2 linked regions of the Daphnia pulex genome follow. The protein of the gene in region 2 binds, or shares a complex with, the protein of the main gene of each other region. Links are inferred from orthologs where the notes say so. Each region holds a gene or a part of one and is shown on either strand. Other genes may lie near its edges. The genes, in order: small ubiquitin-related modifier-like and SUMO-activating enzyme subunit 1-like.

Region 1 (16,273 bases), on a different chromosome or scaffold from region 2:
CAAAGAGCAGGGCATCACCGTCGTCGGCATCTGCCTCATCTACGATCTCTGTGTTGTCAATAAGGTAAAAAGACCCACAGTTTATATGAATTGAATAGAGTACTATATGTCTGCTAGTTTTCCAATCACGCGATCCCCTCCCGGAAATAGAGACACTCTTGTTGACAATACTCGTGTACTGTACCCCGGCGGCTGTTGACGTTCACCCTCTCGGTAACTGTTTGAACAGGAGATTTAAAAAGACGTGTGCTTCGAGTGAACTTGTTGGAGTGATACAATCAAGTATTTATGCATGACAGAGTGATTCGTTCCTCGCGGCCAAACTGTTTAGTTTGTTCCGGTGACTATACATAGGCTAGATACACTTATCGTTCTCCCCCGAGTTTTGTCAGCGGTGACGTTCACGGTTCACGGGAAAAAAGGAGGGAGGAAAAGGACGAGAACGAACGAACATGAAAAGGAACGTGCATCCTGCTGGGGTGCAAAAAAGGAAACCCTTGTCAATCACATTGTGTATAGTTTGTGTAACAAAAGTCAACGCCTCTTTCACCAACTCGACTGAACGCTCCGTGGCAACACCCATCGCTCTACAGTGCATGTAGAATACTTGATTCGAGCTCCTTTTCTCCTTTGACCTTTTACAGGGTCGTCTATAACTTTATTGAACAATGTCGGATTGCCCTCGAGCACTGAAATCAATTCTAATCGATATGTTTTCATTATTTCGGTGACAGCTGTATGGCAATCAACTATTGAAAGTCGTCAAGGCTTCGCTTGGTGCTGGTGGACAGTTGACGGGATCAGGGCCCAGCCACGTCGGGAGTAAGGCGCTGCATCTAGCCGCCGTCAGTTGCGGTCGAACTCGTTCCATTTTCCCGCGTACCGCTGTCCTGACCATGTCGACGTTGGCACTCCTAGGAGCCAGGATGTACGTCATGGGATCGCAATTGCCCGTCTTCACTCGGTCAGTTTGTCTAATTGCACTTTGCCGTGTTTCTTCTTTTTTGTTTTTGTTTTGAGGCCTCATTAAAAAAGGTTTTATTTTCTGCAGGTTCGATAATCCGGCTTCAGCCTCTTCGTTTCCTAGTCGTCACTTGACCTACAATTACCTAGCTGTACTCAACGCCTGGCTGCTGACCTTCCCGTCGTCACTCTGCTGCGATTGGACGATGGGCACTGTTGCCCTTGTCGAATCAATGACTGACCCACGTAATCTTGCCACTCTTCTTTTCTTTTTCCTCGCCTTCCGATTCGTTTGGGCGGCTTTTTTCCAAGGAGACCCGGTCATCATCATGGTATCGTATTCCCAACTTACGTGTTCATCTTACTCTTATCGTCTGTAACACCCGATTAATTCGACAGGCTTTCTCCTGGATGGTGTTGCCCTTCCTACCGGCGTCCAATTTGTTTTTCCCCGTCGGCTTTGTCGTTGCGGAGCGTGTGCTCTACATACCATCCATGGGTTTTTGCATTATGGTCGCTTACGGATGGTCCAAGTTAGCTGGCTACACTAAACCAAGGTTTGATTGGATTTCGTTTGTAGAATGCTAGTCCAGTTAACCTGAGAAAGGAATGACGATTCGTGCATTTCAGTTGGACGAAAGCAGTTCATTTGGGTTTCTTGCTCCTGTTCGTTTTCCACGGTCTGAAGACGTACACCCGCAACTTTGACTGGGAATCGGAGCAGGCCATCTTTAGTGCCGGTTTGAGAGTCAATCAGCGTAACGCCAAGTTGTTCAACAATGTCGGTCACGCCCTCGAAAGTCAGGCTCAGTACACCGAAGCCCTCGAATATTTTCTGCAGGCTGTCAAGTAAGGCGATTTGTAATACCACGCTACTGTAATATATTGTGCGCAAGCAATTCAATCAGCTTGTACAACCGTTCCATTGGTAATCTTATACCTAATATGATGTCTACTTGATGAAGGGTTCAAGATGACGACATTGGAGCCCATATCAATGTTGGCCGCACCTACAATAATCTGGGCCGGTTCAAAGAAGCCGAAGAAGCTTATCTCAAGGTACTGCACCCATTTCCTCTTGTTGGAAAGGGAATCAAAATCAAATTAATCCTTGTGGGAAACTTGATATGAACTGGTGTTGTGGCGATCTTAATAGGCCAAATCCTTGTTACCGAGAGCCAAGCCCGGTGAGAGTTACCAGGCCCGCATCGCTCCCAACCATTTGAACGTGTTTCTAAATCTGGCCAATCTGATTGCTCGCAATGAGACCCGACTCGGAGAGGCGGACGCTTTATATCGCCAGGCGATTTCGATGCGAGCAGATTACACTCAGGCCTACATCAACCGCGGAGACATCCTCATCAAGATGAACCGGTACAGTATATAGTTATATAGTAACATGGCGAGTTCATAGTCGTTGACGGTTTATGTTTCTCATCGACAATTTTGTTTTCCGCGGTAAATCCCTCAGAACGAAAGAAGCTCAGGAAGTGTACGAGAAAGCCCTATTCTACGACAGAAACAATCCAGATATTTATTACAACGTAAGTTTCCGCTTTCGTCAAATTTACGCGAATGTGTCGACTCTTTTCAGTATGTCTGGCTAACTTTCTCTTTTATTTGACAGCTGGGAGTGGTTCTGTTAGAGCAAGGGAAGCCTAGTCAAGCTTTGGCGTATTTGGAGCGAGCGTTGGAACTGGAACCCGATCATCAAGCGTCTCTACTGAACTCGGCTATCGTCCTTCAAGAAATGGCCGCAAACGATAAAGGCCATCAAGATGTAAAATATCATTAAAACTCTAGACAAGCTTAACTATCCTTCAACTTTTCGTCTGTTTTTGCAATTTGATTACATGTTATCCAGAACGCTGAATCGGATTCTTCGCAGAGTGAAGTCAATGCCGAGGTTACTCAGTGGCGCCGACGAGAAGCCACTAAACGTTTAAAACATTTGCTACAGCTCGATCCCATTAATGAAAGAGCTTTATTCAACCTTGGAATGTTGGCTATGGACAACGGAGACATGCCATCAGCCGAACATTATTTTAAAGTATACTCCCTCAAGCTAATAATAATACGGAGAGTTAAAATGTATAATTAACTTTGAATTCTAGGGATCAGTGTTACTCAAACCAAACTTTCGGTCGGCTCTCTTCAATTTGGCCCTTTTACTCAGCGACACGGGACGACCGTTGGAAGCTGTACCTTTTCTCAAGCAGCTCGTTCATCATCATCAGGATCACATCAAAGGTCTTATTCTGTTGGGAGACATCTACATCAACAGCATGAAGGACCTCGAAGCTGCCGAAGGAGTAATATTACTTAAATATATTCAAGCGCTCGATCTGTTGTCTAATAGTTTTTTTTTTGTGCGTGCACTTTCAGTGTTACATCCGAATCCTGGAGCTGGATCCGATGAATGTGCAAGGACAGCACAATTTATGCGTTGTCTACGTTGAGCGAGGAGACTTAAGTGCTGCCGAAAAGTGTCTGCAGCAAGCCCACCGATTGGCTCCTCACGAGGACTACATCGTCCGCCACCTGAACATCGTTCAGACGCGCATTGCCAAATTGATTGCCGCTCAGCAGAAAAAACAGCAGCAAAAGAAAATCGATAAGAAAGACCAGCATCTTTGATCATTGATCAATGCCATAATTTTTACCCCAGCCATCCTTTACCCCACTCCAGATGATTGACGAGGCTTCTCCTGCCCATACTGATCCTTGTTAATATCTCCATGGCCCCTATCTTTGACTTGTTTATTCGATTAAGTGATCTTCAAACGCGAGTGACATTTGGCGTGAGCTTTTGAGTCGTCTGTGTGTTGGTGTGTACGTATGTATGATTGCTGATTGCCTAGGTTGCTGACTGACATTCCAAGAACTCCATTTGCAAAACCAGATTCAGAGTCTTTGGAAAGGGACTGAACAACTTTTCATATCGCTTTACTTGTATCTCACCTTTTCCTTCAAACTACTATCTATTAATCAAGTCCAGATGTTTTAAGAGAGTACCAGAAAAGTATTTGGAATTTGCAGCTGATGAATTCAGGTTCAGTGTGAAGGTGCCTTGATATTTATAAATGTTGACAACATATGTGTGAAATACGGTAAGACATGAGAGAACAGAGAGAAATATTTGATTCACGCCATTATTTTTGTATGCTGGTGAAAGTGTTGGAGCTTTGCTATCTTTTGACCTTGTCCGGTCCGGTTGTCCGTTTTTTCTCGCGTGTACTATCACGCAAATTGGTGGGCGGCATATACTATGGATGAGAGGAGGCTTATTTACGTACGTCGCAGCTGAACCGCACAACCGTGCGCATTTCACTCGATTACAAAAAAAGGCCAAAACTGTGATATGAGCTTCATTTATGAAATAATATCCTTTCATCCTCGAAATCACAATCGGCATTTTGATCGCAAGTGCAAAGTGCCATTCCATATTTGTCCGTTCATCTTGTTTAGTTTTCGTTCTCGAATTCTAGTTTGTCTACTTTCACACTATCTATACTCAAAAATTCGCATATACCTATTTGTATATTTACGTGTATTTGATTCGAGATAAACGTTTTGAATCTATGAAAATCTATACGTATTTTTCTTTTCGTAATAATTTTAGGTTTTTTAAAAGAATATCCTCGCGATAAAACACAGGTGTTTTAAGTCTGACGAACAAGGCTTGGGAAAGGTATGCATATTACAATTTTAACCGGTTTTTAACCCCGTCATGGAATTACAAAAAACTTATGAACACATAGGAGTGCCACTAGAGACTATATGGAAAAATTACTTTAATATTCGTTTCGAAAAGCAAGTCGGAATTAAAATTTACTGTACTTTCATTTTTAAACGAGTAAAATTAAATTTCTCTCCACGACACAGAACTGTTTTTTAAACTTTAAATTTCCTATTTAATGAATAAACACCACCATAATGATCAATTTACGATCTGACATCTAATCAGAGGATTAAAAAAATGACAATTTACATTAAACAGAACGTAAACGGCTGGGCAGATGTGTATTGCCTTGTATGCAACAAACAGCACATATCCAGCTGGAATCACCCAGCACACTGAGAGAAACTCGCGATGTTCTCGTCCCATTTGTTTCTTTTCCAAGATCTTTTCCAAGATTAACCGAAAAAGATAACTAATAAAGAGGAAACAACAAAATGGAAATAGAAAATAAAGGGGGACTGTTCATCGTTGGTATCGATTATGTTTGCTGGCGTACTCAAGATTTTACCTTTTTTTGCACAAGACAAATTTAGATTTAAAATAGAAGGGATGAAAAAGATGGAGGATGATGAGGGCCTAACTGTAGCACACGGAAAAACAGAAACAAAAGGTGGCAACACTTGTTCAGTACCGCTGCTTTTTTTAAATCGCCTTTTTGGTTCTCAATATACAGACGTCCTTGCCTCAAGTGCTAATAAACCGATTACGAACATTAGAAAAAAAAAAGCTTACTTCCATTTTTGAAGAGAAAAAAGAATTTATCTGAAATGAATAAACCAGGAATGTCCCTTGTAAGAGCAGCGAGAGGACCCTCAAGTAGGATCAGAAGTGTTTGCCTTCCTTTTTCTTACTCTCGATGGAAGGGGGGCAAAAAAAAAAAGATGAAAGGTGGCGAAGGAGGCCGAGAGGCAAGGATTACTAGAGCTGAAAAATATGAATTTGAAAATCTTGTTTCTTTTTATCTTCTTTTCTTTAGCGCGACGCATTTTTCAATTGGTTTGAAAGCCAGTCAAGCCCTTCGTAAAGTCCATCTCCACTGGTGGCACAGGTTGCTTGGATATACCAGTTACGGTTGCGCAGAGAATGAAGTCCAAGTTTATCTGTGATTTCGGCGGCGTTCATAGCGTTCGGCAAATCCTGAATACAAGGATAATAATGATGTCATTGTTGTCAAAACATTTTTGAAAATGAAAGACAAGTATACTTGTTTGTTTGCAAAAATAAGCAACACGGCTTCACGGAGTTCATCTTCGGCCAGCATCCTCATCAACTCTTCTCGGGCTTCACCAATACGCTCACGATCGTTAGAATCAACTACAAAGATGAGACCCTAGATTGTAATGGACAATTAGAAAAGTCACTCAAATTTTTAGCTTAATAAACATACTTGTGTGTTTTGGAAGTAATGTCTCCACAATGGTCGAATTTTGTCCTGGCCACCAACATCCCAAACAGTGAAAGATATGTTTTTATATTCAACTGTTTCTACATTGAAACCTTGGGAATAAAAACAAATTACATGATAAAAACTGCAAGTCAAATTTGCTGAAAATTGAATAAATTACCAATTGTGGGAATTGTTGTGACGATTTCACCTAACTTGAGTTTGTAGAGAATTGTAGTTTTACCAGCTGCGTCAAGTCCAACCATCAATATTCTCATTTCCTTTTTGCCAAATAGGCCTTTGAACAGGGTGGCGAAAACGTTTCCCATTGCAAAGTTGGATGGAATAACTTAAGAATATAACCTAAAAAAGGAAGAATGGCAATTAGAATCACTGGAAAATGTTACAAAGATATATCTTTGCTAACTAATGACTAAACTGAAGCTAGACATTGAGCAACTGTCAAACCCTTGCTCAACGCCGACTCGGTGAAGTTTGTGGAGTGGCAGAACCGACTCGACACGACATACAATTACAAGTGCTTCGCAAAATGAACTAATTATTAATACACTTAGAAGTTGACATATTCGACTCTTTAGTAAATGTGGTGAAGGTAACTTACGGACTCTGAATCGAACGCAACGGATTCCAAAGAATGAACGAGCCCGAATTAGACTACGAGCAGAGGGTTAATAATGGCGGACGAAGACCTCTTTCAACTAGCTATTCAACGTTACGTTGCCACGTCAAAAAGTATGAAGTAGAAAAAGCTGTGCCCGACCCTCTTCTGGAAATCGTAGAGACTCGCCCACTCACCTTTAAGCTTGTCTCATGCGCTCCTAGTGACTAAAAACAAAAACACTATCAAAGAATTAGAACGTTAATTGTTAACTGCATGTTCATATTTGTCATTACAATTATTTGTAAAATTTATTTTCAATCAAGAGGATTGGATAGCTCATAATAGGATTTACCTTTTTTATACAAAATCAAGACATCTAGTACTATTATTAATAGTTGGAAGTTGTATACACTAGAGGCGTGAGTAAGGGAGACATTTTTTTAAAATAATGCTTGGATCGAATTTTATAGCACAGTCCAAGTCACGTGACTTGTTTGATTCCCACTCTATCGAGTATGTTGGAAGCCGATGCGCTTATTAACCATATGTTTTGTCTTTTAAAAAAAGGATTAAAGGCACTTTTCGTATTGTGCACGAACTTAACACGTCATCTTAGTAGATCCGTCTTCCTTGAAAAACGGCCGCCGACTGTTAAGAATGCTTGCATTAATCTGAACTATTTTGAGAAATGAAACCCGGCGAATTTTTTAAAAAATATAGTACATGGCACGAGAAAATTGAATGACGAGCCGGCATTGTGGCATAGTTGACACATTAGTAACACGGATCTCTTGTCAGAACCCAGCCGTTTATTTTAAACAGAAGTTGGTCATGTTTATTGACATATATTGACTTTGAGAGTTTAGAGTCTAATTTGGCATGATACAAGTTATAACGAACGAAGTGAGGTTTTGGGGGAGTAATCCTATTTCTGCTTTGGTCCCGTGACGTTTCCGGGTCTCACTGTTTTATTTGGCACTTTTCTTCTTCGAGCGTTTGTTTTACTTTTACATTTGCCCTTGCTAATAATCTTCACCTCTAAAATGTCATAAAAATATCAACTGTGCATCGTTTAATTATGTATGATATAAAAATATACGTTTTTTAGGCTGTAATTTGTTCTTGCATGCAACCATTGCGGGATTCAGATAGGTAAGCCCGTCGTTGCCGCAGACATTTTTCACGACTGAAGAATAGTTACATTCACGAATATCAGGTCGAAGACAGCGTCCTTTATAAGCTATTCGAATCACTGAGAAAACCAAACAAATTCAACACGGATGGAACCATTTCCTAAAAAAGAATATTTCAAATAGCCTACTGTTTCCAGGGCTAGCCTTATTATGGCACTGTAAAGCCTTCAGATTCGTGTAGGAAATCCCGTTAACCCCACAAAGTGGTTTATAACTTTTGGGAATTTTACAACTTGTTGCACCTACTACTAGTACAACTGAACAACACAAAATAAAGTATATTATAAATTCTTGATTGACAATTTATTTTTACCAAGCAACAGCGTTGTGCAATGCATCCTCTCTCGAAAAGGTTTGTACGCACTTTGCGATCAAAAGCAAGAAATGGAAGTCAAGACCTTTCATCCTTGAACTTTGATGTCAATATTCATAGCAATACAAGTTGATAGAAACAAGTGGCAGAGTGCCCATAAGTTAACGAAAGGATCATTCTCGGTTACGAAAATGGTTTTATTTATTCGATTGGAAATGAAGAACAGAAAGCAGGGCGATATTTTGATGACAACATTGGAAATTAAAAGACAGTTTTGTCCAGAAAATGTGGAAAGTTTTCCATGAATGCATCGAGGTTCTTAAATTAATTGCCACCAGTTTGTTCCTGATAAACCTCAATGACATCATCATTCTCCATTTCCAACTAGAACAGCAGTACAGAAATTCATTACTTGCATATCATTTAACACATCAGCTAAGTGCATTAGACACAACATACCTGTTTAGGGGTTTCATCATCATTAATTCGCCTTCCATCAAACAAAAACCTCAGCGAAGTAACTGGCACACCCTGAACACAAAGAAAATCTTTATCAATAAGTGAAAAAAAAAATGACAGGAAAAACCCTTACCACTCTTTCACTATAAGACTTCTTGAGTTTGCCCATCTGTGTCGTCATCTTTACTCGAAAGTGAATTTCATTTGAATCCTGGCCAACAACTTTCAATTTGATGTACTCTGATCCTGCATCACCGGCATCAGGTTTCTGATCCTGTATATTAAAAATAGAAACCACAGTTAGCCAAATTGGTATAGGGTAATGCAAAGGCAAACAGTTAAAATATCGAACACATGATCAGAACTAAAAAAAAATCGACTATCCAGCAAAGACAACACGTGAAAACAAATTTTATGGAAAAAGAAACGAATGGGGTAAATTTAGCAATACTTAAAAAGTAACATAGATAGTTACGTGCTTACATCAGCCATGGTTAAAACAAGTTCTTTTTCTAAAACTAGCAGCACGTTTGAGACGACTCTATTGAAGAATAATGAATAATGGCGTGGGCCAAAAAAGCGCCGAGAATAAACGTTGCCGCACCAGCTATATACGTCTGGATGCCGGCACTGCACTAAAAACTTATTTTAACAACGGCCGGCCACGTATGAAATGAGTACATTTTTTTAAATTAAAAAACTTTTTTTAAATAAATTGGAATATATTAATAAAATTTGTAGGATTTTTTTTAAATTTTTTGCTGCTTTGAAGAATATTTTGCTTGAAACAATTGCACAATATGTAATTTGGGATTGATAATATTTAAAATTAAGACTGATGATATCCAATGGCTTGATTCAATAAAAATATAAATTGAGATCTTCTTCGACTACATTTTGGCTGCTTAAGCAATTATTACACAGTTAGCAATCGTTATGGATGATTATTAGCAACGTGTGCGTGCAGTTGATGTCCCTTAATTTAATTTGATAATCATACATCATATTAATGTTTCATGAATTAATAGGTTTACAGCCGTCACTACGTCCATAGCACTCACTCCATAAAAATTTTTGCTGAGATTGTAAATGCCAACCGCAGCATAGAAACGAGTTACTCCAATAATCAGTTAGCAAACTAGAATCGAATTTGGTGAGTTGATGACTTGAATTATTAAATGGCGGGACGACTGCTGGTTTTCCCTGTACGAATTGATAATGCTGTCGTAATAAAAAAAGGAACATTGTTGCGACATCTGTAGGTAGTAAATAATTTGTGTTGTTACAGTTACAGTTTCGCATCGTCGGATTTTTTTCTGTTTGCTGACTTCGTTCTTTTGAATGAGCGACACACCAGTATTAATCGACCAATAGCATCCTATTCCAGGGGAATTTTAAGAAAATTTCTTGCTTACTGACAAGTTGTGTCTTATGGAGTACAGCAAACCGAAATTATAGAAGACTATTTTATTAGATATTTTTGAATGAATGTTAAATTTTGGTTTGATTCTGTAAACCTTCCACTGGAATTCGAGCAATTTTTTTTAGTAGTCAAACTTGTTGCTAACCCAACGAAAAATTTCCAACAGCGTCATTTTCATTTTAGGAGTCGAATTTATTGCCATTTTTATTAATTAATTCCATATAGCTATTAATGCGTTGTTGTACAAATTATTTTGTTCTAGATTATTGCGCTTTAGTATGAAATAAAACCTTACCTTTGAGACGGTTTGGGGGTTTTATTACAACAAGATAAATTTTATTATACAAGATGATGCCTCTTCTTTACAGAAATATTTTTTAAGCATTGCACTGATCCTTCGGTAGTTGAACAACAGTCAGACGAGGAAGCCAATCAATCTTTGTCAAAACTTGTTCGTTTCCTGTATTGACTTCATCCATGCTATAATGCAATATAGAACTAGAGAGGAAAAAAGTACAACTCACTAAGCCACACGATTGTCAAATTGTCAAAAAAGATACGAAACATGTGTCATATTGATTCAAGTATTAGCCGTGTGATTCATATACAAATGTGTATCTAATGTATTATTTGTTTTGGCAACGAGTGTACAATTCACATTTGAATGAGAAAAAAATAGAACGGAGGCAGAAGGTGCATTATCCAGTTGACACACGCAGCAGGAGCAACTTATTATGTGAGACATGTGGCGTGGAATTCAATTAATCTTCGTTCGCCGCAGGAACGAATACAGACCGTATTTTTTGTATTGTTTGATTGATAGGATTTTAAAAACTTGGCGGTAATTTATTTGGTTGCGTACGATGAGAATCTACTTTGGCTAATAGAGTGGGGTTGATTCTACTCAATGAGCACTGTACTTATATTTTATGTGTTTCGTCCGAAATGAAAGTTGTGACTACATAAAAATTAAACTAGAGTTAAGTCTACGAATGTCTACTGTTCTCAATTTTGCAAAGAAGCTCAATGCTATTGTCTACAGCTCAGTCACGAATGAGCAATTCAATTTCAATTCTCGTCGCTGTCGTTATTAATATTCTCTTTCCGCGTGATAACGGTGACGTCCTCTTGATTGGGTACTGGACCACTGGAAACGTCATAAGGAGGTGAAGAGGATTTACCGGCCGTCGTACTTGGCTGTTGGCCTGTGACTGCAAGTCCTGAACGAAGTGATTCGAGAGCCTCACCCAATCCACCCCTCACTTGATTGAATTCCTGCACTACTAACGACAAGCGGCCCAGCAAAAAGTTCAAATGGTCGTCAACTTCGTTGACCCGTTCCGTTACCTATAACAAAGTTCATTAATCAATTTCATAATAATGTCGTTCGAAGATATTCGTACCTGGCCAACTCTTTTGTCCATGCTGCTGAGAGCTTGAAGACTACCGCCGACGTGTTGGGCTGTCTGCTGTTCCACTCGTTGCAACAATTCTTGTGATTGACTGGCGCTCTGGTATAGCACGCCAATCTGACGCCAGACCTAGATGATTTTAGAAATGAATTCTATAAATTAGTAAATAGGGAAAAAAAAAACTAATAATAAAAGTAAAATCATTTTTATAGTCCGTGTACCTGTCCGAGTTCATTTTCTAGTTTACTTGTCATGTTAGTAAGTGCGGTACTTTGATCTTTGATGACCGAGAAGGTGACGTCGTCGACCTTGCGGGCTAATGTCGAGTTCAGATCGCCCGTTTGTCTGCGGATTGAGTCGCCCAATTCAAGCAAAATTTGCTGGACGGCAAATTCGAGACGTCGTTTCGTATCAAGAACTCCATCAGCCGTGTCGAGAAGTACTTGTTCTACTTTTTGCAACCCGTGAATTTCTTTGGCAAGACTTGCATAGCTTTTGTCCACCCTGTCGGCCAATGTCTCGGCCATATTTCCAGATTCCTCCACCTAATTCATGAAAAATTATCATGTGGTAATGATATTCAATTATTATTTGATTGTGAAAGAGATTATTGGCATTACCTGGTCTTGGATAAGCTTCTGACTCTCACTCATTTTGTGTTCAAATGCTCCAAGTCGAGTTTGAAACACATCGGTGACATTCATCACACCTTTGTCAATTCCGCGTGACAAAGATTGCCAACCTTCTTTGAAGTTTTCGTCTAGTTTCATCTGTGACTGGTACGAGTCGTTGACCAGTGAATGAACAGCATCGAGCGTTGGTTTCAGATGGACTTGAATAGCGGAAACAAGGGCCTCAGGATTGCTCTGCGATCCGGAAGACGATCCGGAATTCTCCAAAGATGTCTCCAGCTTTTCAATACCGACTAAGATGGCTGAAGTGTCATTCTTCATTCGACTCGCCTGGATGCAATCATGAAATTTTCATTGACATCTGTTCTCAAGAATGAACTCTGAAACTCGTATACGTGATCAGAAATGCGGTTGACACCAACTCCAAACTGGTTGACCAGATTCTGAGCATCGCTGAAAAACTGTCGCCATTTGCCTTCCGTAGCCACCAGATTGACAGATGCAGCTCGCAATTTCTCGGCATCGCCAGCTTGAGCTTTGCCCAGGTTCTCCATGGTAGTCAACTGTAAGCTCTCTAGTCTCTCACTGCGCGTTTCGTACTTTTCTCCAACGATTTTCACCTAGGAAGTTAACAGCATGTAGCTCTCACTCGCGATCTTGACTGGATTAATTTTCTTAATACTTACTTCGTTAGCCACAACTGACAGACGGTTTTGCAATGATTCTTCCACGCTCTCCACCTTTTTACGAGTGCGAGTCAGCTGTTTCAGTACTTCGCCGAGATCTCCAGTTGAAGCGGCTGCCGGAGCAGGACCACTAGGAGCACCGGCACTTCTTCCGGATTCAATTCCATTGCGGATAGCCACTGTATTGTCAGTGATTTTCTGGAGTTGAATTCTCTCTCTCTCGTCCCTCTGATATAAAATATTGTGGTTGATATTTGACCTTTAATTATAGATCGACTTGAAGTTACCTGTATGACCATTTCTTCCATCTTACGGAGCCGCTCATCGGTTCGGGCCATGAGGATAGCCAGGTTCTCCAGATTCTTATCTTGACCACGTGTTCGTGAATCAAGATCTCTAAGGGAACGCGTCAGGGCATCTCCCAGCTGCCTCTCACGAAGTTCGTGGCGTTCGAGCTTGCCCGTCTGCTCTCTAACTGCTCCGACCAGCGTCAAAATAGCGTCCCTGATGTCCGAATGCCTACCATTTCGAAACTCGATTAGATGTGTTATTTACCGCAGATTGGGAAAAGAGACGAGTTATAGCCTAATTCGCATGGCAAATGACATCACCATGCCTACGATTAGAATCTTTTAAAATGTTGTCGATTGAGGTCAAGGCATTGAGGAATTCGAGGAAGCGGGAAGACTTCAATTCACTTGGAAACAAGGATGACACGAGCGACATCATCGACTTATTTCAAATCGAAAGGGAAACGGCGACCTCTGTCACTCTGTCATATCGCCGGCAAGTTCCCACAACAGGAAATGGGCGTTGTTTCTTCGGTTTTGTTCATTGAGCTACTCAATCCACGTGTTTGAATAAAAGAAATCAAACATTTATGAATCTTTATTATCTATGGTCAAATCTGGAGACTCAGACAACCCCCTTACCGCCGGCCGCATATACGGCCCATGGCGAGCTAGAATTTCCGTTCAAGCGCTTCACAAGTAAATGGCATATTCTTGTTTTTGTTGTTAGCAGCACATGTGTTCAGCAGACTTTTCAACAACTATTAATTCCAGAGCAACGATGGGAGCGCAAAAAGAAAGAGGGCAAGGTTGTTTTGAGCAACTAGATAGACCCCCATGAGGCGGATAGCATAGAGGTAATTGGATACGGCAGTGTGTACGTCTTTGAGCGCAAAAAGGAGTACTCGAAAGAGACTTTGCTGATTTTTTCCCCACCCAAACCTTCCCCGACCGCTGGTTAGAAGGAAAATTTAATCTTAAAGCTTTCTATACATCACATATCCCTTTATGCTAGCCATCATCTTGTAATAATGGAGAAAACTGCAAATGTACACAATGAGGAAGACTTGCCATGCCCAACTAATATGATAAAATTTTTACTCACGTGATGAGAGATGCTGCGGTCGCTCCTGGCTGTTGAGGCGTCTGGGTGGCTACCGGATGAAGCAAAATGACGGCCGTCGCCGAAATCAAATACCAGAACGTTCTCATTCTTTCTTCAGATGGTCCGACTGAGGAGGCGGACGTAAAGCTTCTGAAGAAGATGGGACGATCTCGGAAACAAACTGTGGGTTCCAAGAATGAGAGAGAACTGTCTCTGCGTCAAGCCAAAGCTAAAAGTGAGCAATTTCGAGTCACTTTTATGTGGGCTTGCCGCAGCATGACATTTATCAGCTGTTATCGAATTATCAACACAAACTGACAAAAGCAGTTAACTTTTAAAAAATAAGCCATTTTCATTCCGTATAATCACTGATTTTGCTTATTGTGATCAGTGCTGCGAGTAGTTATTATATGTAATACTGTATATATTGTCGTGAGAGAGTTATCAGATAAAATTAATAAATACCCTCTGTATGTCGTTCATAAAAAAAATATTTGAAACAGTGACACCTAAGCAGTCATGGTGGACCTAAGTGGTCTGATGCCATGTCTAAATAGACCGTACCGTAAGCATTCGTAATACATCGTAATATGAATGTTACTGACATTTCACGTTAATTACGTACATTGACGAAACGCTTCTCCGACGTGTTCGAATTTGAAAAATTTTTTAGGAACACCCTATTGCTATAGTTAAAGACAAACTGCTGCAAATCGGTACAGCATTCGCAAGCGTAAGCGTACAGCGAAAGCAGATGTCTGGGGAAAATGTCTCAGTATCTCCTTTAACCGAACCTGAAAAAAATGTTTATTCTAAACAAGAAGTAACGAATTTTAGCTGACTGACCTTAATTGGATCAAATAAATTCACACATTCTTAACTTTCTATTGTGTGAATTTTTGCAGTTCATGCTATTCAAAAGAAAAAATATTTATGTTGGTAGCTATTAGATTATTTTATTTAAAAATAAATTTTTCCGTCTGTCATTGAACGCAATACGAAAAAACAGGAAGTGCCGTACGCCTCTGAATCTCTGAACGGGAGATATTCGATTGATCATTGATGATAAGACCTGCACCTGCTGTCTGGCCAAATAATTAAAACGAGAATGACGTATTAAAAAAGAGTGACGCATACGTAAGTAGCGCATCAAGCGCTACTTTAATGATTGGTTCATGGAGATGGGAGAATACTTTAACATTATATTACATCTTGTAAAATGAATAATTTAAAGTTGTGATTTCAAAGCAGCTTGAAGTACGTACATATCCACGATGAACTCCTAGGTATAGTTATAGATTTTTAGAGCAAAAAACATGGGAAAAATAAAATTTGTGCAAATATGTACAGTATGTAACGTAGATTACCCGGAAACGTAATCATCAATACCAGTATGTAATGCGTTATTTCACGTTATAGTTGACTGTTCGCTGTGCCAACGTCCAAATTTTCATTCAAATTTCATCGCTATCTTTTCTACAAAATTCAACGTTAGATGGCGGATAAAATATCCAGTTGAAAAAGAGAATCATGGCGGGAAATTAAAAACGACAAATCAATCAATCACATCTAATACCGTTTATTGGATTAAAGATTATAATACTGTATAAAAGGTAATAGATTGAGTGATATTGCACTAAAACGCAAAACGGCGATTAAAATATGTAAAGATTAAATCCCAACAATAATTAAAAATAAAAGAACTACAAGAGTAATATTTAGAGCCCTTATTTCTTTCCTTAACTAGAAAATGTATTTAGCCCCCGGAAACAAAAGATTTCCCGAAATAAGCGCTCGACGAGTAGTCAATTCGTCTACACATAATGAAAAAGAAATCAATGGTTACTTTACTGCGTCTATTTTTATTTTTGTTACTTGCAACTTGCCTAAATTGACATCGCTGGATAGGTAACACATTCTGTATTGTTCGGCCAGTCACACTCGCTCGTGTCTACGTTCCATATGAGTCCTTCCGGGCAAGCCATCAGATATTGAATACCGTTCGAACAGGTAATAAAAGTTGAACAATTGTAGTAATTTGGATACACT
Region 2 (16,845 bases):
GGTAAACAGCTAAATCCAACGAAAAAGATTGTAAAGGCGCGAACTAATTTTCAGTGTATTAGTTAGAATGTTATAGGTTTATTCAACTTATTCTTCCCAAGAAAAGCAATAATAACGATTCAATAGATTTTAATTCTCAAGAGGAATTAAAAAAGATCAAATAAAGTTAGATCAGCTTTTCATAAACCAATTTCCACGTTTAACAATTGGATGGACAGGTATGGAAATTTACCGCAATATCCGCATGGCCTACACTCCCATAGTGCACGTGTGCCTACTCACCGTTCCATTATGGAACATCTTGATTTAAGGGCTATTCAAGTTTCCTAGTATCACAATATCAAGACCGAAACGCTCTGTTGGGCCCCATGAGGAAAATCCGGCGTTTTTAGTAAAAGCCTTATCACTCCCCCGAGACTATACGAAAATGGGTTCTCAAACATGAAGTCTAGCGAGTCTAGACACTCTTTTTTTTTCAAATTTCATGATGTGTTTTTAAAAGCCAGACAGTAAATTTTCATATTATACACTCTGTAACCCGCCTGTGTATGTTAAAGTATTAGAAAGAGATAAGATGTGGGATGCGGAATGGAAAAAGCGATGATAAGATTGTTACCTCAAATAATCACGAGTTGGTTTTCTTTCCTTCCCGCCATACAGTATGCCAACTGATCTCCCCGCACAAAGTTCCCACTGACACCGCGCTGTAAGTCGTTATTCTATATAGTTCCCTAAGACACAGTGTTTTCTTCATTTTGTTCTCTTATTCAGAAGAAGGCGACTGTTATTCAATGGCCCAGAGCCGAAACGCAAGCGGTAATGAGCAAACTGGGCCGGCCAGCGATGGAAATGCTCCATTAACTCGAAAAGTGATTCCACATTTCGTATCGTGGGTGGCTTTTGTCGCTTGTCTATTCTACGTCTACTATTACGAAATAGTGTAGCAATGGCATTGTCTGCTGAACATCTAGTATCGTCGAAAATAAAAGAATTCAATAGCTAGAAATGAAAATGACTATTTCGGCCCTCATATTGTCGTCAGCAATAAAATAAAGACAGTAAAATGAACTGGAAAAAAGTTACACTCGAGAACTTTCATTACGACTCTATAAAGCGTCAATAAAAATAACAAATAAACCATCACGGACAACACATTAATTTGACCGTACAGACATGACGTCGGCGGGACCCAAATTCCCGTTTCCTTTTTTAAAAAAAATGCCAACCGATACGGTATTCGGCGTGAGACGATAGCCTATCTTGAACTTCCATGTTAACCAGCACTCTAAAAATTTTGTTATTTCTATTCGTTGGCTAATTAGTATTCAATCGGCGCGTGAAAAAAGAATCCCGACGTTGCATTACTTTTAGCCATCTAAACTTTTCCCGTTGGATTGAAATTTTGTCGTTATGTCAGCTACGGCTAAGGTTAGTAGCCATTTCCCACAACATTTGACGGTCTGCATGACAATCAAACAGTCTTGTACGAACTATCACCAAGTAGGATTGATAGGAGATGCCCTACAATCTAAACTGAAAGATGAATGGGCACTTTGATAGATAAGACGATATCTTTTCTTTCAAACTTACAAATTTCTTTTAAACTTGAGTGGAAGGTAATAGTCGTGATGGATCAGATAATGCCGTTATGATCGTAACTCAAACCGGAAAGGGTGCTGAACATCCAAAGCTGGCGGTTAGATCCGGATGGAGTCGTTCAATTTTCGATGCGAGACACGAAATGACCGGCAGTGATCCTATCAAGCTCCGGATGAAAATGACAAGCTCCTCCTCTCAAACCTAGCATCAAAACAGTAAAACAGAATAGTGGAGGAAGAAGATGTATAACACTTGGGCTCGACCTACATCATAAAAACTCGACGTCTGGCCAAACGTCGTTCACAGTTGATTTCTAGTTACGTCAAATTACAGTTCAACTCGCGCTTATTCCTTGGAGGCAGTGATTACAACAAACTTCCCCTTCAACTCTTTTCCTGTCAAAACGCAGAAGGTAGGCATCAGGTTTTAAACAGTAATTTTCTTTCTTCTTCTTCCAAAATAAATGTATATACTTGCGACCATCCTGATGTTGAGTTGCGGTCGGAAATCCGCATCAGCCGCAACAGTTCCGAGAAATGAAAATGTCTCGGGCATTTTTATTCAGCTTCAATAGGCAAAGAGTAACCATGGGTCCCACATTTCCGTTTCTATGTAAAAACCGCCACCCGCTGCTGTTTCTAACAATCGAAATTTTGCATTTTGCACAGCTTACCCACATGATACGGTATTATTTCTGCGACGCCAAAATTATTTAGAATGCACCTGGGTGGCCAAAAGCACTGGGGAATGAAACCAGCAGTCAGGGATGATGAAGTGCGTCCGCGCGTTGTTTTCCCCTTCTTGTTTTCACGATTCCAGGTGTCTAGAAAATTCTAAAAACAAAAAAGGAAAATTAATATGAGGCTTTCGTGAACACGAGAATGAGGTTTGGGTATTACCTGGAAAAAACATTTTTCTTTGGATGTATCACGAAGGGGGTCTTTCTTTCCATCAGCCAGTCAATTGCGCAAGACTAGTTACCCACGCGAAATGTGTAAAGTTAATTGAGGTGCTGTTACGACAGCTCAGTGTCCGGATGCATATGCACACACTTACGCGGTTGGCTGACCTCTACCACTTATAATATACCCTGCTGGCGTCTCTCTCACGCGAAAGAAATCATTTTTAATCGTTCGTCACACGCTCGTGGAGAAATATTCAATCATGTTGGGGTGACAGTAAAAGCAGTCGCGTGAATTTAAGTCTTTTTCTTTCTAAACAAAAAAGAACTGGAATAAGACATGTATAAGAACACGCGTTGAACAAAATAAAAAAAAAGACTCTTTTGGGCTCTTTTTAATATAGTACTGTAAGCTTATAGTTAAATGAACGGAATATACTCACGCCAGAATGGGTTTCTAGGCTGTCTACCTCGGATGACAGGTTCCCACGCAAAAGGTTGATTCCAAGAGAAGAGTTTTTTCTTTTCTTTTTATATCGAAACCCTCTGCGGGAGAGGAGGAGGGGGGAAGGGAAGAAGCCCAGGAGTAGTCAAATGACGACAACGAGGAAACATCCCGTAGTTGTTGCGCAGCGTTCGGACGGAACAGTCGAGAGAGCTCCGTCTTTAATTTCCAGTACCCAGTGTCTTGGTTTGCTCCAGGTGACTCACGCGGATTAAAACAACTCGATCGAGGAGTGCGAAGGTCATCTGCCCATCCGGAAATAAGTCCTACAAATTGACAGACACGGAAGAAGCCCGGAAAAAATTTAAAACAAAACGGGACTGTTAAACAGTGCGGAAGTTGACCTTTTAATGAGGCGACGTGACGTGTGTTGGTCCAGCGGCAGCGAGGCGTCCGTGTAGAATAACTGACGCGATGGCGGTGCGGAAGATGTTAACGAATGCCGGACAACAAGCCGACTAGTTTGACCCAGTGAGTTTATGTTGTCGTCCATTTGTCCAATGAGAGGGGGCCAAACGACGACGAGTCAAGGATGGAATGAACAATGCCGACTCTGACGATCCCGTTATACCTCCGTCGAGTCGACGACGACAGGAAACCACCACCCACGCGACTCGGAGCGTGACTCTTCCGTCGATTTCTTCTTCTTTGCTGCTGCTGACCGTCTTGTCTTGACGATAGCTCCAGCCCGGCAGGAGGCGGCGGCAATAATAATCCAGATACTTTTTTCTTTCGGCAACTGTTTGTTGCACGCCATCAACGTTTGTGTGTGTCTATCGTGTGTGTGTTGCGGTTTTCGGACGCTTTTGGTTACTCGTTTGCATTCGTCCGTGTCCCATTGTGGCTCATTTCCTGCACCCAATCGACTTTCTACCACTTTTTGTTTAGCGGTTATTAAGGTACATAAGATCCTCTGAAGCCGGTGCGGAATGAGATAACTGCCATCGGCAGGATATGGAAACATTTTATGATGTACCTGGTCGGTTGATTGATTTAGTTTTCTGTTGGTTTTATTACAGGTGAAAATGCGTCACTTTTACAAGCACGTCTTATCAGGAATCGTTTTCTGGTTGCTCCTCTCACAGAGTTTGAGTCTGTTCAACAGTTCCAGTGCAGCATCGACGTCCAGAACTTCTTCTTATACTTCGGAGGTTGCCGAAACGGAAGATGAAGCTGAACTGAGCAAAGAAATGGCAGTGACTCCCAAAGAGGTGGAAGAAGCAGATGATAAGGAAGATGAAGGATCGGAAGGCAGGGATTTCAGTGAACTGTTGAAGATTGTCAAACGGGAAATTAGTGACGGTGAAACCGGCCGTTCTTCGTCGGGCATCTTCAACACGACACTCGCCTTTACCATTCCGCTTTTCTCTTTCTCGCTGCCAGACAGAGCCACGGCCGGAAAGGACTACACCAAACAGGCCGCTTTGTCGCTCTTCGGTCTGGCCATTGTCGGTGGTATAGCCATCATGCCTTACGTCTGGGCCGCCCGCTCTCCTTTAGGGAAGAAGACTGTCGTCGAGTAAGTTCTATTTCCAAAATTTATACGAAGGAGAAGAATTCAATTTGAAATTCAATTTTAAAAATAAAAACAGATCCAGCAGAGCAAAAAAAGATGAAATCTCTTCATCCATTCTGCCCATGATAGCCAATGTAGCCTCGTTGGCCGGGCTGGACGCCAAAACGTGCGTGCAGCGTTCAGTCTGCGAAACTTACCGAAATCCGGAACGCTACGGCTACCTGGTGTTCCCCGTCCGCTACTTTATGCTGTAAGTTCATAGGGCTTTATGTCGTCACGGTTAACTGAAATTCTCCCAAACTTTAAATAACTAAATGGGAAATAAAGGGGGAAGGAAAAAAAAAAGTTACGTAATGTTCCGCAAGAAAGAGTTGAGTGAGTTTATGGAGTCTACGACAGTTAAATGCGTTCACCGTTGGAGCTCCACCGTTATTACCAACTTTCACTGTAGCGTGACTCAACTCCCATTTTTCTTTCTTCTTTTGTTCAAATGCACAGATCCCCTCAATCCCGGGAAGACGATAAACCATCCGAGTATCAACGAGCAGCCGAGTTTGGGCGACAAGAAAAGGAAGAATGTGAGCGGCGCTACCGGTGCGCTTTCAGTCTTATCGGAGCGGCCAATTTCCTCTTCAGCTACTTCTTACCACCCTCAACGGCCTGAAGAAACAACCGAGATTGCGACTGAACTTTGCCCTGCACGAGCCCAGTCGCCACTGCAGCGGCATCCTGTGAATTGACTATTTAATATTTATTCAACTATTAGACATTGTTATTTATATGCAAAAGTGCCGTGAATTGCCCCTGTTTTGAAATGACAAAGATTTGCCAAAACTCTTTTCTTTAACCCAATCCCATACTTTGCACACCATCTTTAATTTATGCTTAACCGCGACCGATTAATTATTTTTTCCCTCTCCCCCCAAAAATTGTGTAATAATTGGCGGAACGAACTAAGGACGTCCCGCATAGGATTGATGCCGTGAGTGATAAACCACTTGTGTACTGAGTTTACTGGGAATCCAGATGTCGAACACAAAGAAAAATGAATTAGATTGATTGATTTAAGAAAAAAAAAAAAGGGAAGATTGTTACAAAATCCGTTCAAAATCCAATGGCTTCGACAACACCGTTGAAATCTGTGGCACCGTTAAAGAAAAAGTGATTGCGGATGGGTGCGTCTTTGTGGGACACGGCTTTGATAATTTCTTGAGCCAAAACTCCACCCACAACCGCAGCCCCTGGACTAAGTTCGCCAAATACCACCCTAAAAATAAATTCACATTAATATTAAATAATATAACACACTGACATTTGATTGAATTTATATTAATGCTTAGTGGGCTATCAAAAAATTCTATTGCGATCCTTACTCGTATGCACAGCTGTCAATTATTTGGTTGTCCAGTTTCATTTCGTGTTGAATGTGATCCCGGATTTCACACAATTTCGCAATGTCAGACTGACGGTTTGCAACTTCTGGATCGCGTTTCATTTGAGAGCGGAACATCAGCAAACCTGTGGTGAATATCGGGCAACATTAATTAATGCACCTAAGCTATTCAATTGGAATTGATTTTTCTTGAATTTGTACTTTTCATCATGATGAAATGGCTCTTGATACGCTGCCAACTTCTTTTGTTGAGCTGAGCTGCTGCATCAGCTTCAAATGCTGCTTGTAAAGGAATATAGTTGAGAATATGCTTGACGGTTTTTGTTTCACTTTGGTCAGCTTTTGTCTTCAAAGAGCAAGCATCATTGGCAGCTGGAGCAGCAACATTTACTTCTCTGTATACACGAAGAAAATGTAAATATAGATTTCACTGTTGCAGTTTCTACTTGACTCAACACTTACTCAGCATATTCATGTTCAAGCAGATCGACAAAGAAGAAACCAGTGAATCCAAACACATCCCCTGAATAGAATGGAATGCTGTGCTTGCGACAGATACTGTTGACCCTAAAAGACTCTTCAACTGCCAATCTAGTTGCACAAACAACATCAAAACCACTAAAGAAATCTTCATTCTTAGTGGTAACATTGTCTTGGTCAGCTATGACTTCCACCATTGGGTTTAAACGCTGCACTCTTTCCAGTGAAGCTTCAACCACCTTGCAAACAAAACATGCAGATATTAACAATAAGGACAAAATTGCTTTAGAAGGAAATACTTACATTCTTTCCAACAAGTTCTCGGGGAACAAGGAAATTGGCAGAATTAGCAACAGCAACATTGTGATCCAGCAAGGTTAGGGATTTGATTCCCGACAGAGTCAAGTTCTTGGCGATTTCAGCACCTAAACCACCTAGCCCAATGAGCAAAACTCGAGCTGCACGAAGTCTGCAATATAATGCAATTTATAACTTGCGTTAAATGCACTCAAGATTTTTTAGTAACATTATCTTTTTGCAGACCTTTTCTGTGCTTCCAGTCCCCAAAGTCTGATTTGCCGGTCGTAAAGTGCTGCTTCAGCTTCACTGATGGTTATTTCTTCTTTGGCCACCATTTTAATACTTGCTTCAATTTTGATTGTTTAAATGTTTTAAACAAAATTAAAGTGACGAATTGAGTATCTAAACTACAAAAAGGTTTGGAAAAATCCCAGATCTCTCTGCAGTGGATATGTCCGTCTGAATTTTCGTAAAATTCATGGAGTGTAGACGCTGCGTTGCCATTTCCAGAATTAGAATATTTTTGGATATTCAAATTTTTCCCGAATTTTGAACGAACGAATAAAGAACGGTTTCCATCTAGTTTATTACCACCAATGCTTTACGCACAATGGGCTCCAACAATATATAAACGGGCGTTTTTGAAACGAGAAGAACAGAGAGGCTGGCTGCTGCTAACACCTAGAAATCAGGCCGAGCTTATGTTTGAATATGTACAAGTGCATTTGACAATGAGATGGGGAATGTGTGGATTTAGGGACACAGAACATCACAGACAGAATAATCGTCCACAATTAACACAAAAAGAGTAGAATGTCGAAGAGGTAATAACAATCAAATGATGTTGAGCATATATAAATGGATTGACGAAATTGATTGCATGTGTTGAGAGAATGGATGTTGACGCCAAACAGAGATATGGTTCGTTGACTGAAATGATATGATACACATCGCGTAATAGTACATCAGACACTTAACGACGACACGACAATGAAACAACGTCTCCAACAACAACAATAACAACAACAATTAAGTGAAACGTGTCGATGATGATCGGATTTTTTTCAAACACTAATTGAATTCAGAGAATGGTGCAGGCCGCTCCGTGACATCCGGAGGAAGAAGAATCCATCATTAGTCCGGAAGACATGCTAGCCCTTGCCATGCTACTTCTTTGCTGGGAACCTTGTTAAAACAAATACAAATTTAGGAATAAATCAACTTGAATAAATTCTTAGCAATTTGTTACCTGCAGGTTTGCCGTTTGTGTACTCGTTGCCGTGGTCTGGAGCCATTGGTAGACTGGCCAATCCGCCGGAATTATCTTGCAATGTATACCAATGCGGCTGTTCGTCAATGGTTCCTGGATCTTTTAACGTAATAAAAATCAAATTAAAGTGTTTTCATGCTGATATTAATTCAAATTTAGCTACCAGCAAGATCGAGAAGGAATTCACCGAGGAATTCAAGTCGGCCGTCGGATTGGTGATGCCACACCGTCACTTCCAGTTGACGTTTGATGAGATCGGCGGGCGGAACAGCCGGATAAACCTAATTTAAACATTAAACCTCAATTAAACAAAATTGAAATGTTAAACAGTTTGAATTGAAGCGAACCATAGTTTGGTGCCATTCCGGATCGCTAGTCAGGCTCAAATAGCGAGTCCGGCGTTCGTTTTCGACTTTCCGGCCGGGAAGCAGAACACATCGGACAAGCGGATCGGGTCGGGCGTCACCATTGGGTCGTCGGGTCTGCAGTTTTCTGGCCCGGATGATTGTCACGTAAAGGATGTGAGCCCGGCTGTCGTAGCAGGAAAGTAATTGGACTTGACCCAGAGGCAGTGTCCACTTGCGCTTCCGCACTTCAGGGTCCTCCAAGCATTCTTCCGGTTTCGGGACTTTATTCCGAATGATCCCTGCGCACCCGTTATCGATCCGGCGATTATTTCATCAGGTATGGACAAATCTATTGAGAGATTTATATATTTATTACCTTTAACGACCGGCTGTTGAGGTCCAGTTGGCGGCTGAGGGACGACTTCCGTCGGCGAAGCCGTGCTCAGTTCACTCGTCATATGATTCCGGTTGTTGCTATTTCCGTTCATGTCGATTTCCTCGCGTGGGCCGGCAATGGTCCTCGTACATTGCTGGACGTTGGACTCGGCGTACTGCGAGCTGGCCTTCTCCCTGGTGGAAATCAAAAATAGGATCGTGAACGGTTAGAAGATAAAAACGGGATTGCGTGAGTTGTTTATTTATACCCGCAAATGACAATCTCCACTTCGCCTCGGGTGGATGAGATTATACTCTGAACTTCTTCGAACGATTTGCTGTTGAGCTGAATGCCATTCCACTCGAGGACCTGGTCACCTTCTTGGACTTCGCCGTGAGTGTCGACCACACCTCCAGGTGAAATCTCAGTCACGAAAGCTCCGATTTCGCCGTGCCGACTGCCGGGAATCTCCAATCCGCCCACCACTCGCATTCCCAATCCGTTGTCTTAATGAAAATAAAATAAAATAAAATAATTTGGACAATAATTTAAACGAATAAGAATGAATGAATTACCGGTAGTGGCGCTGGATTTGGCATCGCATGTCAACAGGATTCTTTTGGTGGGAAATGGATAGCGTCTTTTACCTGGTCCTTTGTGCTAATAACAAAATTGGCGTTCGTGCGACACCCCCCGAAAAATCTTTTATAGTCGCAATCGATTTCCCTTTTTTGTTTTTTGAAATTTAGAAAATTCAATTCAATTATAGTATAGAAACAAACCTCATATGGGCGGTTGGATGAGCGACGGTATTGATTGCGGTTGTCTTCTTCCGGCTCCGAATAGCAAGGATCTCCACCGTCATAATCAGGTGAATACTCATATCCTGATGGAACGAAACATGTCAAACATTTTGGTTTTCCCATTCAAATTTAAAAAAAACCGCGAAAATTTTTCATAAAACCTGATTAAAGAAATTAAATAATAAGAATTAAAAAGATAAAAACTTTTTCGACTCTACTCCACCGGTCCGGAATGAACCCAACTTTTTATCATTTTACTTTACACAAAGATAATAATAAAGTAATTGTTAAAAAATATAGTAAATGTTTTAAAAATAAATAAAATAATAATTAATTTGGTGGATGACGTTTCTACTCGCCGGAGCAATCGAAAACTGTTTGTTTCGACGATAAACCCGCTCGTGGTAGTACATAATTTCAATGTTTTTGTTTCTGAGTGCGTGTGTGCCTGTTCTCCAAGTGATTTAAATCGACTGCCGATGGAGAAAAAAAAATAATCGATTCGCCACAATCAACGACAAAACAACAACAACAACAACTTTTGGAAATAGAAATAAAAATAAAATAATGAAGACACTCAGTTTTTTGGCTCCAATAAATGCGATAATTTAAATCGAGTTAATATGTATAAACATTAATGAAATACATTTAGTGATTGTTATGTAATGTAATAATAATAGAAGAATAATAGATCGAATGTCTAATAAGATAGAGAGAGAGAGAGAAAAAGGATTTGTTGTTAGTTTTCTTTTTGCGCGACGAAGGCCCGAAAAAACGTGTAATTAGCCAGCCAACATTGATGAGAATTACATGCAATGAATTGAGAGAGAGAGAGTAGAGAGTAGAGAGTTAGAGAGAGTTAGAGAGAGAGAGAGAAAAAATGAAGTGTTGGGGGTGGTGGTGGTGGGGGGTTGTGGTGGCAAGGGAGGGGAGACAAGGAAATAATTTTTGTTATTTAAAAAAAAATCCAACAGCAGCAGCCCCAAAAAACTTTTGACATTTTACACACACGATTTTTGGTTTGTCTCTCTATTTTTTTTTAAATTTAAATTTAATTATTTTTATTAGGGATGGGGAATTAAAAGGATAGAATTTGATGCCTTTGATTTTTTCCCCAAGGGAAGAGTTCAAAAGAGAATGAGGCAATAACACATATATAACGATATATTGCGTATATGCATGGTCTGCTGGAAATATGTAAATTGTCCCTCACGGGTTTGATATCTCTCTCTCTCTTTTGTTTTTTCACGCAGCTAATAATTGCACGAATTTTTTTTTACGAAAAAAAGGCCCACAAAATTGTTTTTGGGGAATTATTAACGAGCAAAAATCAGAGAGAGAGAGAGAGTGAAAAATGGGGAAAAAAAAAATTCAAAATAAAACAATTTTGGAGGGAAAGATATGGAAAAATGATTCCCTCTGGAACACACACACACACAAACACCTCGCGAGATCCCTTATTTCCCCCAAAGTGTCAATTGGAAACAAATCCGAGCGTTCAGACCACCAGCAGCAACATTATGATAACGCGCCTTCTTCAAAAATTCAATAAAAAATGCAATAAAAATCAACTAAATCAAAACGATAAATTGAATTTTAAAAAATGATAAAATAGGGGAATAAAGAGAAGAAAATAATCATGCGAGTAAAAGAAATCCTCCATCGTGTTTTATTGATCGGTTGACAGGTTATCTCTCTGCCAAACAAAAATGACGTTCAAGTGCGCTGCTATCGACATTATAAGTGACGTTTAATAATTTCCAGAGAGAAAATTGGAAATTAAAAATTTTGTGATTCCCTTTTTTCTTTCAAAGTAAAACACTGACGCAATTCAATCCGTAGATCGAATCCAAATTTAATTTTTAAAAAATCTTTCTAATCAGTCGCAGAGAGAGAGAGAGATATTAAATATTGCATCATAGGGGGGGGGACTTCGACGATTTTGTTTTGGGAGGGGGGAATAATATTAAGAAGAGTTAAATATCGGGTCGGTTCATAAGGCACCAGGAATTGAAAAAAAAACTAAATTTTGTTTGTTTCGATCGACTCTCTAAAAGGAAATTTTAAAAAAGAGCTGCTGCTTTTTCTTCATTAAATAGGAAAAGAGGTCGAGGGGGGGGGGAATAGTGGGAGAGGCGGGATTTTTAAAAAGGGAGGGTCACGATATCAATGAGACAAGTGCACATGGCTACTATGTATATATGGCCCATCATTTCCATCAATCCAATTGAAATTAATTCTTGCACGAATAAAAACCAAAAAAAGGTAAAATTACGAAATGATGCCATCCAAAGGAAAAATTAAAATCAATAGAAATGAATTAGAAATTCGGGGATGTCCCACTATAAATAATGAAACAGTTGAGGGAATATAATAATAATACGTCATTCAAAAAAACGACATTATATGAAATGTGTGTGTGCAGCAGAATGTCCCAGAGAGAGAGAGAGATAAAACCAACATTTCTCTCGTTTTTAAAAATTTTACAAATAAAAATAAAAATAAATTTCATCAATGGAATAATCGGGGAATTATTTATGTTGATGGGAATGAATAAATGGCGGGATCGGAGGGGGGGGGCTTGACCTACTAAGAAATATAATACGGTGCTTTGACGACGAAAACGAATAATTTTTACCAAGACCACACACAACATACACCGAAGGAAAGAAAAAAGAAATACTACTGATAGGAATAAATACACAATCTACTCAAAAAATGTTGTTTTTGGTTCTTTTTCCATTTTTCATATAAAATCGATAATCTTTTCTTTTTTTAAATTCTTGTGCCTGCTGGATTTTAAATGGGGAAGAAGAAGATCAAACTGAAAATCAATCAAGAAGTAATGAAGAAAAGGAAAGAAAATGAAAAAAAGAAAATGGTGTGATCAAAAGATGGTTGGGTGGTGTGGAACACATCAAAAGCGTCAAACACAAATGAGAAAAAGATGATGATAATAGATAGTCAAATGTTTTTTTTTGGAAATATCTTAGTGACGCGTTAAAAAGGAAAACAATGAAAAGGCTGATGTCACTAAATTAATTTTTTAAAAAAGAAAAAAGAGAGAGAAAAAACTACCGGGACACAAAAACCAGACACACGTTTTAAATTGCTCGGTCGAGACGCGTCATCATCCAAAGAAAAGAAAAAAGGATAGAAGAAAATTAAATTTTTTTCTGTTTTTTTCTCTTTTTTTTTAAATATAAAAATGCAAATTAGGAAAAAAAAAATAAATAATTCAAAAGTGGGAAATTCATTCCTAATAAAAAAACTGACTGTCTATGGCCAAGAGTCCATTTGTTTTTTGTTTCTCTTTGATTCCACATCAAAATTAAATATTTTTTCTAAATTTGCTGGGATTCCCCGGCTCTTAAAATGAATTAAATTTAAGTTTTTTGTGCTGTTTTGTTCAAATATCGAGCTCGTTTTGAAGATTTAAAAAATAAAAATCCCGCCCAAAAAACTTGTGATGACCGAAAATATAAAAATAATTCAAAAATAAATTCAAAATGTTGCGCTGGTGGCACGCCGGAGAATTCGGTTCCATGACGGAATTATTTGGGGAAATAAAACCCTCCCCCAAAAAATTCCTGTTTTAATTTTTTGTTCTTTTTAGGGACGGGAATGTGAGGATGATGATGGCCATTTGATCAAAATTTTGTTCTTTTTTTGTTTTGTTTTTTAAATTTTGAAATAAATTTTTACGCGCCGAAATTCAAAACGACAGAAAAATTCAGCGCGGCGACAAATAGCGCGAGGTACTGTGCGGATGTGCCCCGGACGCTCCTCCTCCTCCGTACTTGCCTCGTGACTGGATGTGCATCGTCGGCGCATCGTTGGCGCTGGCGTAGGCCAAATCCTCCAGCAGCTTGCGCGACCGGCTGGGCATGTCCGGCAAGAGCGGCATGGCCGTCGGACCGGCCCCCGTGTTGTACATCATCATGTGTTCGCCACCGCCTCCGCCGCCCAGCTCAGGATCGCTGGCCAGAGGCGAGAAATCGTGCAGACGCTCGTAGAGACTGCTGGTGTAGTCTTCCGTCCGGAATGTGGAGGCCAGCCGCTCCATGCTGCGCTCCTCTTCCGTCGGCACGCCGGAATAGTTGCCAGAACTGCGGGCCGGACTGGCACCTCTCGAATGCGACCCGTACTGGTGGTGCTGGGCCGACGACATGTGGTGGTACGGACGTCGGGTAGGAGACACGTGATGGTGATGACCTCCGCCCATGTAATCCGGCTGGTACAAGTGACCGCCGCTGGAACTGCTCCGGGATCGATGGATGAAATCCCGATCTTCCCGCAAAATGTCGTTGATGGATCGCAAAACGGACGAGTTGTTGGCGGCGGCCGCTAGCCGGGCAGCGTTTCCGCCGCCACCGCCGTAGGATCCGCCGGAACTATTCCCGCCCACCAGTCCGTGATTGGTCTGATAACCGCTCACCTAAATGAAATCGAGCGAAAAATCGTCTGAATGTGAATCAATACATTAACGGGATCGATCCCGGATCAAAACGGGCCCACAACTTACGTCACCGGATTCGCGCAGACGGGACAGGCGGAGTAATTCGTCGTGAAGTCGTGAATTCTGTTCGATTTGTTGCCTCCGGCGTGCGATTTCCGCCTTGATCCTCTGTTTTTTGGCCTCGCGGGTCAGGATGTCGTCCTCGGCGTCCAGGAACTCTTCGTCGCTGCCGTAAGGCGACGGGTGCCAGGATCGAGGCTTCCTCGACAAGAGGATCGATTTGGAATGGCCGCCGGAATTGTGATGGCCGTGATGGCCGCCGTGGTGTCCACCGCCCAGCATCATTCCACTGCGATCGGCAATGTCGTAACTAAGTCCACGGGTCAACATCCGAGGATCGTTGGCGTAACGGGATCGACTCGACTGGCCAGACTGGTGATGGGAGGATCCACCGCCCGTCAACCCGACCAAAGAAGGATCCATCAGATAGTCAGTCATGGTCATTCCTCCATCGCTGGATCTCCTGGCGTGAGTCCTGAAAAAGATCATATGATTAGTATAAGGATCGGGTTAATTTCGCTTTTAGGGGGAAGGGAGGATTTACCTCCGGCTACCAACGGCCGAGTATTTCCGTGAAAGGAAATCATCGTCCTCGGTGAGGAGTCGGTTGAGAGCACTGCCGGAATAAGAAGTCGGTATGGATCGATGGCGATCCCAATCGGCTTTATTGGCCATCCCCACACCGCCGCCCATGTTCAGCTCTTCCATCGATTCGTATTCGTAAGCCTTGGCCCGGCTCATCGATTGAGATCTGGCCGTCGAGTATCTCTGTCAACGTTCCAAAAATAAATAAAATAAAATGAAATAAATTCCCCGATCCTTTCCTTACGTCAGAAGATTCTTCGCGTTCCCGCATGAGCGAAGAGACTCTGGGATCGGACAACTGCCGTCGATGCCCTCGGCTTTTGCGGAGTCGGGAGGAGACGCCGGAAGTTGCCGATGATTGAGCTGCTCCAATGAGTCCGGCGGCGGCGCTGCCCGGTCGCCTCTGAGTATCGAATCTAATCCGCCGGACCAAATGATTTTTAGAAATGAAAATTAACTGAAATTTGCAATTGGATTTTTACCTTTTCATCGGGTCTCTGAGTGCGGCAAATTTTTCCAGCTCGCGGCGGATCCTCAGCTCCCGTTCGCGGTCCTTGTCCGTTTGGTTCCTAAGTCGAGCCCGATCCTCCGTTAGTCTCTGCAGCTCCTCCTCCAAGGCTCGGCGACGTGTCAACGGTGATCCGCGCAAGTCTTCTAGCGCAGCCGTCCGAATTCCGCCCTGCCAAATACCCAAAAGAAATAAAATTTGAATAAACTTCCGGTTTTGGTAAAAGTTTGCCCGTTTCGGGTACGTCTAAACTTACGACGCTGAGGATGGTCGACGAATCGTTGGTCGTCGAGGATGTGGTCATCACCAAGTTGGTGCTGGGAGCTCCGACCAAGTGCCGCAAATCCGGCGGAAGGATGGCCGCCAAACTTTCGCGGAGTGTCTGGTCCTCGGATTTGACACTGATGGAAGGATTGGAGCGGGCGATGCCGACGCCGCCGCCGGCAAGATTGCTCGACGTCAAATTGCTGTTGATGGACGATCGTAATCCGTTGGCGTTGACGATGCTGGACCCCTGCAAAAGTCCGTGGGCCGATCCGGGTCGGGCGGCCAGCGAGCTGGCCATGGATTCGCCGTAAGCCAATTGTCGCAAATTAGTCTCGGACGTCGGGCGAGTTAATCCGCTGAAGGAGGCGGCCGACGCCCCGCTGCTGTAGCCCCGGTCGACTCCTCCGCTGGATGTGTTGGCTTCCGTCAGCGAGCCCTGCCGCAAATTGCTGTAGGCCTTGATCCGCTCCTGGACGCTGACTAACTGCTGCTGCTGTTGTTGTTGCTGTTGTTGGCTCTTGGCCAATTCCAGTTTCTTCTTCTGGACCGACGGGAGGAGGGCGGCCTCCTGATCGGGCGGAAGGAGCGGCAGCTTCCGTCTCAGCCGGAGTGAGGCTTGTGAGTCCGTCTCGCTGAGCGTGTCGGGCGAGTCGCAGGCCAGGAGATCGCGACTGTCACGACTGTGGGTGCCTCCTCGCGGCGTTCCGGCCGGAGTGCCCATCGGCGTCGTGATCGGCGTCCCACCGCCACCACCTCCGCCGATCATGAACGAGTGAGCCGCAGGGCCTGGACGCATCATTCCGCCCAGCAGATCGATCTCCGGCGACGCTGTCGGACTGTAAGGTCGCCCATCGATCAACCGGATCCTGCTCCTGCGTAAGGAAATAAAAAAACGGAAACAAAAAAGAAAAGGAATTTTTCATTAGAATAAATTTGCACATGGACAATATGAACAAAAAAGCAACTGACTTGTGCAGTAAATCGGCGGATCTCAGCATGGAACTGCTGCCGCTGCCGTAGAGATCGGAGTGGCTCGTCTTGTTCGGATCCGGAACTGGGTGGGGGGGAAATGACAAGGATCGTTTTTAATTCAATGGCCCAACCATCAACCAATCGATAAGACGAGTTACAAACAACTTTTTACGAACCTATCGACGACTGGTGCAGCAGGGAGGCCGATGGAGCATTTTGTTGTTGTTGTTGCGCCAACATATTCTTCCGGATGGCTTGCGGAGTCATCTTGTTTGCAGCCTAACAATTCCGCAGGAATTTAAAAATGTAAAAACTTTTTCTTTGGAAAATGTTGGTGGGTTTTACCATGAGCTGTTGTTGTTGTTGTTGCAGTTCCAGGGCGGAATTCTGAACCGTGCCGATCTTGCGGAGTTTTTTCGAGTGCTGGGCCTGGTGCTGCATCTGCATGAAATCCTGGTTGCTGCTGCTGTGGTTCATCATGAGCAATTGCTGCTGTTGCTGCTG

Evidence for each region.
Region 1: the proteins of SUMO-activating enzyme subunit 1-like (region 2) and small ubiquitin-related modifier-like are in contact, whole or in part, in a crystal structure (PDB 3KYD), measured with the Homo sapiens proteins. The link is inferred for Daphnia pulex from reciprocal best matches to the Homo sapiens genes SAE1 and SUMO1. Residues at the interface, in NP_005491.1 of Homo sapiens: Thr179, Lys180, Val181, Ala182, Lys183; in NP_001005781.1 of Homo sapiens: Asp30, Ser31, Ser32, Glu33, Ile34, His35.

Annotation. Positions count from the first base shown.
Region 1 is NC_060017.1:269,055-285,327, forward strand, and holds small ubiquitin-related modifier-like, read right to left. Parts: upstream 9,322-16,273; 5' UTR 9,169-9,321; coding exon 9,160-9,168; intron 8,951-9,159; coding exon 8,810-8,950; intron 8,749-8,809; coding exon 8,677-8,748; intron 8,602-8,676; coding exon 8,542-8,601; 3' UTR 8,394-8,541; downstream 1-8,393. Other genes in the region: protein O-mannosyl-transferase Tmtc3-like, read left to right, coding at 1-64, 735-964, 1,052-1,295, 1,363-1,520, 1,594-1,812, 1,929-2,022, 2,120-2,337, 2,435-2,507 and 4 more; ADP-ribosylation factor 1, read right to left, coding at 5,678-5,842, 5,910-6,035, 6,093-6,202, 6,271-6,418; serine protease inhibitor dipetalogastin-like, read right to left, coding at 7,637-7,749, 7,811-7,963, 8,033-8,161, 8,218-8,242; putative leucine-rich repeat-containing protein DDB_G0290503, read right to left, coding at 11,168-11,446, 11,503-11,640, 11,733-12,056, 12,132-12,473, 12,539-12,763, 12,830-13,057, 13,117-13,348, 14,225-14,331. UniProt on the Homo sapiens protein: Ubiquitin-like protein that can be covalently attached to proteins as a monomer or a lysine-linked polymer.
Region 2 is NC_060026.1:14,821,582-14,838,426, forward strand, and holds SUMO-activating enzyme subunit 1-like, read right to left. Parts: upstream 7,184-16,845; 5' UTR 7,030-7,183; coding exon 6,938-7,029; intron 6,864-6,937; coding exon 6,698-6,863; intron 6,634-6,697; coding exon 6,377-6,633; intron 6,310-6,376; coding exon 6,116-6,309; intron 6,040-6,115; coding exon 5,895-6,039; intron 5,789-5,894; coding exon 5,626-5,788; 3' UTR 5,505-5,625; downstream 1-5,504. Other genes in the region: uncharacterized protein LOC124204020, read left to right, coding at 4,031-4,524, 4,598-4,771, 5,020-5,185; histone-lysine N-methyltransferase 2D-like, read right to left, coding at 7,776-7,879, 7,944-8,063, 8,128-8,245, 8,312-8,610, 8,688-8,881, 8,956-9,193, 9,263-9,347, 9,470-9,573 and 9 more. UniProt on the Homo sapiens protein: The heterodimer acts as an E1 ligase for SUMO1, SUMO2, SUMO3, and probably SUMO4. It mediates ATP-dependent activation of SUMO proteins followed by formation of a thioester bond between a SUMO protein and a conserved active site cysteine residue on UBA2/SAE2.